Linked DNA regions of Lytechinus pictus. The protein of the gene in region 1 binds, or shares a complex with, the protein of each later gene. Links are inferred from orthologs where the notes say so. Each region holds a gene or a part of one and is shown on either strand. Other genes may lie near its edges.

Region 1 (7,860 bases):
TGGTACGGCTACGTGTACCGTATAATGATTAGGAGCTGGACGTCGGACCGGGAAGTTTACTGTCTTACTAAAAACTAAAGTTCAGTATCGAAATTGATGTTGCCTTGCGCTATTTTGTGAGTATGTAGTCTAATTTCATCTTTATATTATTGACGATGTATTTATTATTATTAAGAGGGTCTGAGAGTACTATTTATTCCTTCAACTGTCAGTGTCGTGATCTTTTTGAATAAATGAACGGATACGCGGATACAATTTTACAAGTTGCCTGTCTTAATAAGAAAGTTAGAGTCGGTCCCACACGCTGTAAATTGTGTATCGGACCCAGTCCAGACTCAATCTGATATTCTCAACAAGCATCACGATCACTCCTAGTACCAATGAGGTCCAACATTACATGTATGGACCTCATAGGCGACATCAGTAGTATTTTTGGTTAGGAATCTCTGAGAACAGGATATTTATATATTATAGGCCTATCACAAGTACAAGCTATATTCCTTTCTCTTATTTAAATTATAATTTTATAGTGTAAATGCATCGTTAGCAACAACAAAAAAATGAAAGAAATGAAGGGGAACTTACATTTTCACGGCTTTTTCCTGATTTTCTGGGCAGCTGCTCTTCTCTTCTGACTCGTGATCGAAGCTGATATGAAGATCACGTGATTCGCGTTCTCGTCAGCTGATCGGTTGGTTATTCTTTTCGTCAGACGTTAATAATATATATTTTATAATGCTAGCATTCATCGCTAATTTAGGTGAAAGAGATTGAAGTTAAACAGCGCCAGGTCGGAATCATAATTATTTTGGAAGAGTGTATTTATACACTCGATCTCATACTAGGGAGACCGCGCGGACGTCAATTGCATTCCGCCTTTTGTTACACGCCGCACGGACCTTCAACGAGCAGCTCACAAAAATACGACATGTCTCTCATTATTTTGCCATCACAAAACAAAATAGTCAATATATATCAAAATAAGCCAACAACATCATCATCAAGTATATTCTCAAGCTAATCAATGTCGAAATAAAAGAGATCATGGTGTTTTATCATGCTTTTGAAGCAACGGAAATGACCCCTCACTCACCGGTTTGAACAACGGTTCGTCAGCGCGAGCGCTAACACACGCAAATTCGCATAGGTCGCATTTCCCCTCGAAATGGTCAGAGATTTTGGAGCAAAATTCCACTTTGAAGCATTTTCGACACTTGATCCTCACATCGTATGATCATGATCTATATACCAAAAGAAAGGAAATAATTTGCTCTGTATACTCATATCGGTTTACAATTCACTCGCTTTCGCCAAAAAAAGATATAATGAGAAGTAACATTCCTTCTGCGATAGCGAGAGTACGATTAAAGTCTCTGTACGTAAACCGAGTCCAGTTTGCATTTTCGACGATGCTGAATCCGATTATGACATCATTTTTTCGCATATCCCTGAGGATCATGTGTCGGATTGCAATTCAAAATACCCTTACCATGCGAGTTTTTGAACAGCGAAAAAAGGGCGTGGTAAACCCGATGACGCCAGATTAAATACGCGCTTTCTTAATGACGTCAAGCGGTCCCGCGCCTATGGTCACGTGCCCAACCGGCGCGAGAATTCAAAGTTCATCGCGGGTGTCGCTGTGCGCAATGCTATGGAGTTTCAATGCAATTTTGTCTACATGTACTTTGTGAATGATCGTGAGTGTATCGCTTACACACATGCACGTGGATGATTTGCATTTGCACATGTAAACTTAGTGACTCATCACTGGTGTAATCATTCAACCGTGCATGTATTTTGATCTGTCCATTTATCATCCCATGTTTTACATCAATCTTTGAATTATCTTTGGTCGATATATCAAAGTCTCGCGGCAGCAATCATATTCAACCAAAACAACAATGTAAGTGGAAGAAGACAGTCCAAATAATATTTCATCAAGATGCATCAAGGCCGGTGTGCTACCGAGACCTCGACATTTTTAAATATTTTTTTTAATGAATTTTCGAGCCGGCCAGACTTTGATATATTGACCAAAGATGATGCAACCAGAGAGAGAGAGAGAGAGGGGGGGTTGAGAAGAGAAGAGAGGGAGCAGAAAAAGAGATAAGTTAGATGTAAGGGGAGAGGTCGGAGTAGCAGTGTGATGAGAATTTATGTAAATTGGGTAGAGACCTCGGGGTAGAGACAAGTTCACGTTGTGTAATTGAACAAAAGAGATCAAGCAAAAAAAAAATTGAACGTTGACCATGCTAAATTATATAGTCCTGGATGATGTCAAAAGTCAGAAGGCAGGTGCAATCTACCCCCCCCCCCTCCACCAACCTGTACCTTCATCGGCACAAGAATTTAATTGATAGAATAATAATTTTGCTGTCCGTCTTCGTATATATCCCTCGAACTTCGAAGGATGATAAAAAAAGCCGTCTCTAAGTCCAAATATTTTGCCCATTTCCCGGACTCATTTCTTCATACTTACAGTAGAAAGGCTCTTATAATCCTATATAAAATGATTCCACTTATTCCATATGGAGAGTGTCCTTTTTTCAACCATGGTGTTGGAGGTACTTGTATACCTCTCCATGATTCAACTCTGATCGTGATTCAGCTGTGCATGGACCTTTCGTTGGAATATCCGTTACCATGGTGACCGGCGGCCAAGATAACATGCAGGTGGTCATTGTTTACAAATATCTGGAGACTGAGAATGGAGGTTAAATGCCGCGTCATTCCCAGGGGTCCATGTTCTGAACATGGAAACGATTGTGGTTGAGCCCCGTTCCCACGGTAGTTGCAATGACGGAGTAACTATAATCATATACATGTAGTAAGTTCTTTGGATCCCAGTTTTCAAAGCCTTCACAAATCATAGGAAATTTATCAATTACAACTCGCTATCTACGACAAATATAATAATGACTGTGTTGGAATCAGTTACAACCAAAATGCTAAATAAAAAAGAGGGGTTAGTTATATTTGAAGGGGTGAATCCAGGAATTACCAGAACGGGGGGGGGGGGGGGGGGGTACGCTGTTTGGACGAAAAGAAGTTGGCTGCCACTGTGAAGTTGACAACTCGATAATTTTCTGACAATCAAGCAAAAAGAAATCAAAATGGAGTGGATGGAAACTTGTCGCCCCCCCCCCCCCCACCAGCACTGATTAAAAGCATTTAAAAACAATTTTCAAGAAGAATCAACGAGATCACGAATAAGAAAGAGAATCACACATTAAAAAAAATCAATTACATGCAGAATTGAATTCATAGAACAATAATTTTGCTGGCCGTCTTCGTATATATCCCTCGAACTTCAAAGGATGATTAAAAAAAAAAGCCGTCTCCAAGTCCAAATATTTTGCCCATTTCCCGGACTCATTTCAGTCATTATTTTTCTTCATCTTAATGCTTACAGTAGAAATGCTCTTATATATAATCCTATATGAACTGATTCCACTTATTCCAGATCGAGAGTGTCTTTTTTTTCAACTATGGAGTTCCCTCTCCATGTTTCAACTCTGATCGTGATTCAACTGTGCATGGACCTCTCGGTCCATGAACTGAACATACGTTGGAATGTCCGTTACCATGGTGACCAGCGGCCAAGATAAGATCATTGTTTACAAATATCTGGAGACTGAGAATGGAGGTCAAATGCCGGGTCATTCCCAGGGGTCCATGTTCTGAACATGGAAACGATTGTGGTCGAGCCCCGTTCCCACGGTAGTTGCCATGACAGAGTAACTATAATCATATTAGTTCTTTGGATCCCAGTTATCAAAGCCTTCACAAATCATAGGAAATTTATCAATTACAACTCACTATCTACGACAAATATAATAATGACTGTGTTGGAATCGGTAACAACCAAAGTGCAAAATCAAGAAGGGGGTTAATTATTTGAAGGGGTGAATCCAATTATCAGAACGGGGGGGGGGGGGGTGGGGTTAACGCTCTTTGACAAAAAGAAGTTGGCCGCCACTGTCAAGTTGACAACTGGATACATTTCTGACAATCAAGCAAAAAGAAATCAAAATGGAGTGGGTGGGAACTTGCCCCCCCCCCCCCTCCCACCAGCGCCTGATTAAAAGCATTTAAAACAATTTTCAAGAAGAATCAATAAAATTGATAAAAAAGAGAATCACACAATTAAAAAATCAATCCCATGCTGAAAACTACATGCTGATTCTTCTCATTCTTTGCCTCGCCCCCCCCCCCCCCCCCGCCCCATCTCGTCTCGAATTTTGGGGAATACCTTTTTCATGAGGTGATGATTAAACTTTCTCTGTCTTAGCAGATACACAACTCGATAATGTACTGCCACATCACATGCAAATCACAGACAAATGCCAGACTCTCTCAGACCATGTCAGACATAAATATAAACAAAGGAAATTTCCACGCCGTGTCGTGAGCCACGTGGGAAGGTACATTGAATGGACACACTTTTGATGCACACAAATAATCCCAGACACATTTCATCATAACCTCTCAAGCATTGGTTCTGGACGTTACGATCGCGTCTCTTTCCCCCTCTCTCTCCCTCTCTCTTTCTATGCATTGCATTCGCTCGTGACATGGCTTGACCTAAACCTGACCTAAACGCACCCGTACGGGTGCGTAACTCGAACTTTTGAAGACAGTCGGGGTCAAAGTAATACATATTCATGACCGTGCAGCGTAAAAATCATGGCGCGCTGACATCATTAGCAACATTCGCGGAGACTCCTCCTTACGAGGGAGGCCTTCATTTCCTGAATTGGACGTGAACGCGTATCGTGGATGACCATATTTTGGGAGGTTTTTGAGCTATTATTGGCGGAAAAATGTCAATTTCTCTTCGCTTGTAACTTTGCAGTAAAATGGAATAACTTCAAGAAATTCGGCAGTTGGTATGAGTGAAATTTTCCCTATAAAATGATTACAGTCATAGCACGTAAGTCCAACCCTATCCAAAGATAAAAATTAGGTCCGGTCTCCCTACTCATACCTGACGTAGACGGCGCTATTCAACAAATGCACAATCTTCAATATAAAAAATAAAACAGAAAGAACGCCTTGAACACAGGCCAAAATGCCTAACGATTTCTCCGCGGCATTAACAACTATCGTAAAGGGCGCTCCATTTATCAATAAAGATGGATGCTAAGCTGTCTATGGCGACAAAATTTGCCGCAAATATTTACGAAGAATTGTGAGAAATGGTCTGAAAATGCAACAAAAGAACCGGTGAGTACCGATTAAACATTATCAATTTATTTAATAGAACATATTTAATTACTACAATGTAACAATTTCTAGATAATATTGCTTAGTTCTAAGCTAGGGCGGCCCAAATGCGCGTGAGTGGAGTCCCAGTTTATTAGCACGGGTAAGTACGTATAGGGGTGTCGCCTAGAGTGATCACGATATCTTCATTTTGCCAGCAGATATTATCATAAAAAATATGAGTTCAATGTAGTACTTTACTAGATCTATAGCATTTTGTCGTCAATCTGATGTGGTAAAATTAGGGATATTACTAATAATAAATCCTGTGAGGGAAAGAGGGTGGAAAGTGGGGTTAACAGAAGGAAACTGTCTTTACCTACTCACCAGACAGGAGTTGGTGCAAGGCACGGTGAAAATAAAGATAAACCAAAAAGCAGGCCCAAAGTAACTTGTAGATATGATTACTGGTGTGAAGTATTCTTGGTGTAGATGGCTAGTATTGGTGTGATGTATAATTGCCGCAGCTAGTTGAAACTCGAAGGGCGAAGCAAAGGTAGATTTGTGTAGAAACACAGACGTCCTCGTCTCGCACCGGTCGACTATCAAGTGATCATCAGATCCCTTGGCTGGCCTGACTATGCAGCTATGCTCAGACCTGAGTTGTGCACCCAAGCATGGATGAATGCACAGGGCTTGGGGGTTTGGGTCTATTGTTGTGTGCACACAGCCTCTAGCCCATAGTACATGTATATTCTATGCTCCAACCAAGGAGGTGGTTGCTCCAACCCATCCCACAGTACTACATACTATGTAGGGAGCAGTCGCGCGTGCCCCAGACTGTGGTACATTTTACCACACTGATATAGCCTAGGCCTAAATATCTTATTCTTAATTAGCTCACCTTTTAAGTTTTGAGCTTGAGTTTTTGTTATTATCATTATGTTAATTAACTCTCCACAAAAACTTTGGTCCGTGAAGTTAGGTCACACTTTTTTAGAATGGTTTTCCAGCACAGCATGCATTCGTCTATCGGAATAGAATTTTGAGATCGCGATACCGGCGAAACCCCTTGGCCTTGACCTAGAATAGATCTATCTAACAGTTACATGCAGTAGAGAGGCGCACGGCCAATATGGGAGACTCTCTCCAATAGGGGAGACAATCTCCCACATTGGAGACTTGCTTTGCAAAAGGACAAAAGAAACGACACCAACAAAAGCATGATTTTTTCACCCAAAATTTTGTCTCACTGAGGTCAGAAGCCCATTTGTTTTGTGTGTGATTGACAACAAAAATCCTTATCAAAACAAAAGTAGACGGTGAATTTTTAAAGTAGACGGTGAAAAAGGGTAATTTTTCATGAGGAATCTGCTTATCACATTTTTATTTGCCGCCAAGTTAATCTTTTTGCAGCAAATGTAAACAAAGGAAATTGGACTCCAAAACTGGAGACTGTCTCTGATATTGGATACCCAAATTCTTTACAAAAGTCTCTGATATTGGAGATAATCTCACACATTGGAGACAGTCTCCAATATTGGCCGTGCGCCTCTACTGACATGTAGATCTAGGGCCTAGGGCTAGGCCTACTTCACATTTTCGTCTTATAGTTCATGATAAACAAAATTGATATTGCCGTCATAATGTGGAAACTTTTCTTGAATTGGTTTTGTACAAATTGTGAATATTTTGTGAACAAATTTAAGCCTGATGAATATTTTTTGAAAGTCCGCGCAGTTTAGACACCCCATCATACATGCCGCCGTGCACAGGAAAATTGAAGGCCCGGCGCATGCAACACTTGCATGGGATTGCGCAAATTTAAGATGGCTTTAATAAAATCAAGTCCTTCTACGAAACTGAGCGAACTATGTGAAGTCAATTTCCCCTAATATCGTGAATATCCCTAAAATATTTTTTTCTTGATGACGAAATATGGAGCTTTCATGCCTTTTCCTATTTTTTTCGTCTAAAGAGGGCATGCGATTTATCTTCATAATCATATCAAAGACACTACAAGTAAAAGACTAGATCTAGGCACTAAACTATTTTACCCGTAAATCGATGCAAAGCGTTACGCGAAGTCGGCCAAGTGTCCAATCTTTGTATTGTAAGACTTTGATGGAATGTTTGTTGACAAACGAACATAGGTTCGTACTGCTGGATTCGTTCAAGGCACGTAGAATTTTCTATTTTTTGTTTAATTTGTCATCGCTCTGGATGTGTTACGTGGCTGTATGGCCCCCATGGAGTACTTTTCCTCTAGCTTGTCTTTGTGGCAGCATACAAAGAGCTTTATCCAGCTTTTTTTATAACAATGGATTAAAAAAAGACACCAAATGTTGCCAATTGGAAGAACAAATGTTGATTGGGTTTTTGAATAACCAGTCTTGTATTGTACATTATATATGATCAGAGGTTAACGCCACCATCATGGATTCTAAACGCAAACCAGGGGGCTCTGCTCGAGGGCCTGGACCCCAGTCAAAGAAGGCCAGGGTCCAGGACTTCGAAGACCAGGACCCATCGGTATTCGAGGAAGAGCTGGCCTTGATGGAGCAGATCGAGTCTGAGATGGATTCTCAGGGGACCAATGGATCTGTTGGAGGACCAGGACCATCAGTTAACAATGGTGAATACATTTATATTATA
Region 2 (7,268 bases), on another chromosome or scaffold:
TTAAACATGGTGCAATCACCTAAATTCCTATCTTGTCAATTCTAAGTAAGTGTCAAAAATTTGATATGACCATATTTATGTATTTAAGAATTATCTATATTTTATTATGATGTATTTAACCGTTTCTTTTTATATATAATATATCTTCTATCAACTACTGGCCATTATTTATATCCAATCGTGTTTCAATATTTCAATATTTCAATATTTCAATATTCCAATAGCAGTATCGTTCATTGCATGTTCATTGCAGTTTAAATCTCAGGGGGTTGTATTTAGCATGTTACATTAAATGCAATATAAATTGAATATATGCTGGGTTGCTTGCCAAGATATCACAGTACTTTCAATTTTAATTATTCATTGCAATTTATACAATCTCCTACCGACCCACACGTCAAAGCCAACCAAAAGTGATTTAGATAATTGTTCGCAGCATATTCCCTTTGATTTAATTTTTTACCTTGTAGGCTAATATACAGTGTATTTATTGATATTTGTTTGCATGATTTTATGCTTTGAGATTCTGAGTAATTTAATACTTTGTTTTCATATATATGTAAATTTAAATGCAAATGCATGTTATGTTTATTTCACATGAAAATACTACAGTGGATTCACCTGGATGGGGTATGGGTTAGGGCGGTCTGTGGACTATAGTTATTTGGTTAACTTTGCCCAATGCCTGGCAGCTCATCCGTATGAATCCAGTGTTTAATCATTTTTTGTGTTAACTGTATTATCATTGTGTTATTGTAACAATTATTTTTTATCATTGTATTTGACTTGTTTGATATTTTGCCAAATAACATAATAATAATAATAAACAACATTTGGGAGGCCTAAATTGTCCTCGGCATCTGGGTCCCATTTCATGAAGACTTGTTACAATAAAGAATGCACAATTTTGATAACTAATTCATGATCAGCCAATTAGATTGAAAGATTCTAGGAGCTTTTAATTGCAAATTTGTTATATAACAACTTTTATGAAATGTTCAGTGATAAGCGCAGCCTCATAGCTCAGAAACCATTGAGTTTGTCTCAGAAGGACACACGTACTGTACTGTTGATCTGATCAAATGCATGATCGACAGAAAACTGGTGGCCCAATTATATAGAATGCATGTTTGATCAAAATGTATTTCAAATATCACCCATGCACCATTGTATGGACTAATAGGTGCACTCCTTTGTTTTCAATGAGCTATGCCATTAACTTATTGAATTTACTGAAGAGCCACGCATTCCATCTTGGTAGCGTATCAAAGTGGATTGTAGTGCGGCAAGGGTTGGGGGGGGGGGGGTATTCACCCTTAGTAACCCCCAAATGACTGTAATTCTGTTTTGAATCTGTTTTGTGATGGTGCGTGCACTGCTGCATGAAAATTATGATACTGATGTAGTTGAGATTAATATCAATTGTATCTCTTTGTAAGTCAAAGCCACATACCCTGGGCTCCATCACTGGATATAGATGATATTTATTTGAATGAATTTTCATGCCTTCTTTTTGGCTATCACTAGATTCATTACATATTAAAAATTAATGTGAAAGCATATGGCAAACCTACCCGTACAAGGTCCATATCTCCAATCCAGATCAAATTCCCGGAGTGTGTTTAGATTTGTCTTTCTGATAAGATCTTCAGCACTCTCAACTAAATGAACAAAATATTAAATAGATTGTATGTAATTGAGAGAAATTCAGAGTAACTTTAGAATCCTACGTTATAATCGATTGTATACATACTGTTAGAATGAGGAATCACACACACACAAGACATTATATCCCATAGATCTGTATTCTGTAATCGAATCATGACATTGGATTATAATTTTTTTATAAATAAAATTAAAGGTAGATTTCTAAGCCAGAAATGCGATCTTCTTTTCTTTTTTCAGCATACCCAACAAGGCATTATGAAATCCATGGAAATACCATTAACAATAACAGTTAGAATTAACAATTGAAGTAACTTCACACTAAGTAAAACTTACAGAAAGAATTGCAGAAAACAAATTAAATCTAAAAGTAACTTGAAATATTAGTACGGTACTCCCATTGTGGCAAGAGTTGAGTTAAAACAATTTTTGATTTTTCTTGCGACAAATTATGATAATCTACAATCGACAATGCAATATGATAATAGTAAAAGCCCGACAACAGAATGTTTACATATTTAAATGTTTTTGGCATAAACACCGGTCTTTTGGCCTTCGACACTACAGCTCTCGATCGTAATCGACTACGCGGTACATGTCGGCTACGCGGTACATTTCGGCTACCGCTTGGTACTCACCTTCGATGGTTCTCTCTGATTTCCTCGGGCTTGCTGCGGGGCTTCGAACAGCTACATTTTGCTTGCTTTTCCCCTTTGACTTCTCAAGAATGCGTCCTGATTTTTGCTGACTGAATTGATCAGTGATTAGCTGTTGTGATACTGCCTTGCTCGACATTTTTTGCTAGAGGTTAACTTTCTACCTTCAGATCGAAATCGTTGATGTTTTCATGAATCATGTGCTACAAACTTCAGAAATGGACTGGCAGGTATCAGCTGATTACAACAACAACATGTCATAACATGTGGCGTGGGTATTTAAAAGTTATGAGTTAAGATAATAGACTGTCGATGGAACTCCCAATGAATTCGCTCAGATATCCCGTTTTAAGTGTGTATTATCATAGCTCTGTTGATCGAATTTTATAATTGTACAACAGTGACAATGATAACAATTAACAACGTGATCTTAAAGAGTAAAAAAAAAGAAAGAAATGAAGTTTTGACTGCGATTACTTGGATATATGAAAAGACTGTCTATTCTTTATCTACCCTTGTTAGCGTCGTCTGCTATCATGCCAAAGCACGGTCAGTCAATGAAAATAGCTTGTTAATATATTTCACTTATCTGTTACTGTATTTCGCCAATAAATAGCGGAAATACTGTAACTAAAAACTGGCATTAAGAACAGTGACTCGCACTATCCTACAGCCTCGCCTGCTTACAATCTTTCTTTTTAAAATTGTTCCCTTGTACACTGCACACCAATCCCTTCTTCGCTCAATCACCCTGAAAAAAAAAAACTTTGTTGTAAAAAAAGCAGAAAAAAAATTGAAAAATATTGAAGGTTTTATAGAAAATCCATTCAAAAATAAGAAAGTTATTAGAATTTCAAGTTTTTGATTTGTGACGTCATAAACAAGCAGCTGAATGCCCCGTTATGGTATGTAATATAAAATGCATAAATTTAATTTGTTAATGGTTCTTGATGACTTATTTTTTATTTTCTTTGTAGGAGTAGTTGTGAAATAATTTGTGTATTGATATACTGAAGCTATATTAAAAACCACTTTCAATTTTCTGAAAAAAACATTTCATTGATTTTTTACCATACAATGTGACGGAAACTGAAGCTGCCAGTTGCATATAACGTCACAGATCAAATAATTAAGACTAATAACTTTTTTATTCTTTGAGGAATTTTCCTCAATCGTTCACCAATATTTTTACAATTATTTTTCCGATAGTTCTACAATAAACTTTTTTGTCAGGGTGAACTCCCCCTTTAAAAATACATCCTTCATGACCTCAGAAATCTGGCGACTTAAAGAATATCATCTGGTCTAAAAGTGTTGATTCATGAAATGTCGACAAATGCAAATTTACCTGTAAATATAACACGGGCCTCCACTTTTCTCAATCACTTCTCTCTCTCTCGTATTCAAGACCACTTATGGTGGGGGGGGGGGGGAAGAACAGTGGATTTGATAAGACTTGAATGAATCATAATAACTTAAAATAATAGTGAGTTTGCATGTCCAAGAATGAGCCTTCTCTCTCATACGAATGAGGGAGAAGGGGCGGGGGGCAAGGGCCACTCAAGTGAACACAATGAAATAAACACATAATGTCCATTTAAAAAAAAAAAATCATTTTTTTCAGGAATTTAATCGCTGAATCTTCAAGAAAACTTGAAATTGCATTTTTACAGCACAAGTAGGTAGGGTAATGGATAAACTGGATCAAAAATACTTTAGACACACAAAACAGATGCTAGGTAGAGAACTATCCCATAGTGGAATATGATTTCACAATCTAGCTGATCCTCAAATTAAAATAATGTACTTGAAACATACATTCTCAATGTAAACAAACATAAATGACAATTTAAAATCTTTGTAACTGATATAATAGACACTCGTCATGAAGGGAAATATTAGAACAGAGTACAGAACAGAAATCCCATGTTTCAAGTTATCTGTAAAACATTGTTTGATGGAACCAATTGTTGTTTTTTCCCCATTCTAGTGTAAAACTCAGCACAACAAAGCCTGGCAGGTTTTTTAAATCTTCATTCTATTATCTATTAGAGAACATACTTTGTAACTAATTACTAACTACATGTACTTTAATTGATAGAATTAAAAAGATATTTAAACCATGAAAAGACATAATAAATTATCATTTAAAATAGGAATATTATATTTTATGAATTAGTATCAACAGAATTATGTCAGGATAGAGTCTGTAGGTAGAATCTCACAATGTTACTGTTGAACAAAATTTAACTTTTATTTTAATAACAGGCTGTTGTTCATGCGAAGCAATGACTCACTGGTTAGTAAAGAATGCTCTCATAATAAATGGTGGACTCTGCATAATAATCATTCCATGTTATGAGCTGGACAAGGTACTTCCATCATTGCATGCCCAGAACATGCCTTGATTGTCCACAAACTATTATTAAAATTGAAGACAGTTCAAATCAAATCTCTGTTTTCATTATCTATATAATTCACTTGAATAACAGAACCTGGGGGGGGGATGTTTAACAAAGATTTACATATGACTTAGAGTCACACTTAAATATCAACACGTACATGATATGCCACACGCAATCTTTTTAATCAATACGCAGTAGTCTGCATCATCTTGGCATGATCTGATCTGCATGTCTTTTATACCGCAAGCAACTAGGCATTTAAGTACGACTCTAAGGGGGTGTTGCAAGAAAATATTTGCGATCAATTGCAAATGTTCTGTTGCAATTTTACAACTGATAGATCAACGTTAGCTGTAGCAAACCAGAGTAAACTTCTTATTTCAAGGAGCAAATTAGCAATCAATCACTAATTTGCAATTAACTGCAAGACATATGATTGATTTAGGGACCAAAAAATGACTTGCCATTGATCGCAAGTTTCTTGCAACACCCCTTTAAGTCATACTAAAATCAATCTTTGTGAAAAGCACCCCCTCCCCCCCCCCCCCCAGTTTTCCCTAAATACTGTATATCAGGAATTCTCAAGCAGTAGACATAAAATTCAGTTACACCATTCTCTCTCTCTCTCTCCCATTTGTAATATCAAGCACCTAACTAATAACTGATGGTAACTGATTCACTCTATCAAACCGAACGGTATAAATTATTAAATTAATCAATTTCCCTTCACATATAACAAAAGAAAGATAGAAAATAATGAAGAATGCTAGTCTGGATATATTATATAGGGTTACTTTCCACGTATTGGGCATTACATGCTACATTGCACATGGTAATCGAATAATTTACAAATATACATATAATATACTGCATATGCCATTATATATGATGATGAAAGTTTATAGTTTTACTAATATATACAAGTACCGATAATCCTCCAGTAAAAAAAAAAGATGATCATAATCTACACAGGTGATAAAGACTCATGAAGGGGATGGTGCACAAAAATGCATTCAATTGCAAGTCAAACTTAAGTCCTTACTTTAATCTTAAGTCTTGCAACTGTTTGTAGGTTTGAATCTTGCAACAGAAAGTATCATTTCATTTGCTATGGTTTAACACCATAAATGCATTCTTGCAACACTCCTCAAAGTGTCATGCTACTACACACATAGAAACAAATTCCAAACAGTGCAATTGTGATTTGTTCTAAGTATATTAATTCATACAAACATTAATTGTTGGATACAGTGGCATATAGGATGTGAGACCTTCAGGTGTATGAAATACGAAAGATATCGAACATGGAGGGAGTAATTAAGTAGATGACAGACATGAATTATTATTCAACTTTGGCTCAGACATGACACGACACAGCTCGGCAATATTGTTTACAGTGTTCAGACAATGTTCAGTGGTGAAACAAATATTACACTTGTGTTCATGAACTCCCACGACACAAGTCATCTCTCACCAGATTATTTCCCAAAGTTGCACAAACAAAGTCCTGAAAAATGAAAAATTCTGATACCATATCATGCCATATTACTCTGATGATGTCAAGAATTTGGATGTACAACTTTTTACAAGAATCCTTTTAGGCTATGTTTATTATTATTAGTATTATTATTATCATCATCATTTTGACTGGCCCACAGCTTTTGATAGCCAGCCACACAACAAAATATATATCCAGAATTTGGACGATTTTGAAATGCCTCATTGAAATTGTACATAAATGTTGCTAAGCTCTGTCGGTCTAAGTTTGAACAAACTCTAATAATTCTGCCATAGACTTACAGAATGAACTGACCTACATGTACATGGATACACTGAGAGTAATAAATATTAAAACATATAGATTCGCAGGGATATTATATGCAGATAATGATCTATTATTGAAAGTTGATAAACCAACATTCAACAAAAATCAGAATACACAATCATGTAATACTGACAAAATAATTCTTAACGATATAAGTAGCACTGCGATAGAATCGAGTTGCATTTAACTTCATACAATATCACATTTCACAGGAAAGGGGGAAATATTTTTAATAACTTAAATTTTGAAATCCAAATATCTTTAAAAAGGTGATTAGAAAGATGTGTTGCACTAGTATTTGAAATATATTTGCTTGAATTACAGTATTTTTGTCCAAAACTATTTATTAGGCTTTGGAATATTATTGGAATATTATTAGATTATTCAAATTAATTAAATAAGTTACCGCCTAACAACTTTTCCATTATTTGAACATTTGTCTCACAATTAACAGCCTTTTTTTGTTATATTTGAAAAATATAAGTGATGGCAAATTTGATACTCAGAACAAAAGAGGTAATATATCATTAAAGATAAGAAAAACTGACATTGTAAAAAAAATAATATTTCGCATGTCATTGTCTTTTAAGTTTTGTATCATATCTCTGAATGAATATCTAATTAGCCCCGATTAAGAAAGTGTATTATTGGCCTGATTCTAAATATCTAAACCATGTTCTAAACATTTGGAACCAGGTCAATAAGAGAAGAAATCTA

Evidence for each region.
Region 2: DNA polymerase delta catalytic subunit-like (region 1) and DNA polymerase delta subunit 4-like share a complex: the UniProt entries of both Homo sapiens proteins name them as parts of the tetrameric DNA polymerase delta complex. The link is inferred for Lytechinus pictus from reciprocal best matches to the Homo sapiens genes POLD1 and POLD4.

The regions. Positions count from the first base shown.
Region 1 is NC_087253.1:6,221,801-6,229,660, reverse strand, and holds the start of DNA polymerase delta catalytic subunit-like, read left to right. Parts: upstream 1-4,841; 5' UTR 4,842-4,914; coding exon 4,915-4,933; intron 4,934-5,103; exon of another isoform or gene 5,104-5,226; intron 5,227-7,624; coding exon 7,625-7,840; intron 7,841-7,860. UniProt on the Homo sapiens protein: As the catalytic component of the trimeric (Pol-delta3 complex) and tetrameric DNA polymerase delta complexes (Pol-delta4 complex), plays a crucial role in high fidelity genome replication, including in lagging strand synthesis, and repair.
Region 2 is NC_087246.1:32,444,351-32,451,618, forward strand, and holds the start of DNA polymerase delta subunit 4-like, read right to left. Parts: upstream 3,043-7,268; 5' UTR 2,461-3,042; coding exon 2,304-2,460; intron 1,662-2,303; coding exon 1,575-1,661; intron 1-1,574. UniProt on the Homo sapiens protein: As a component of the tetrameric DNA polymerase delta complex (Pol-delta4), plays a role in high fidelity genome replication and repair.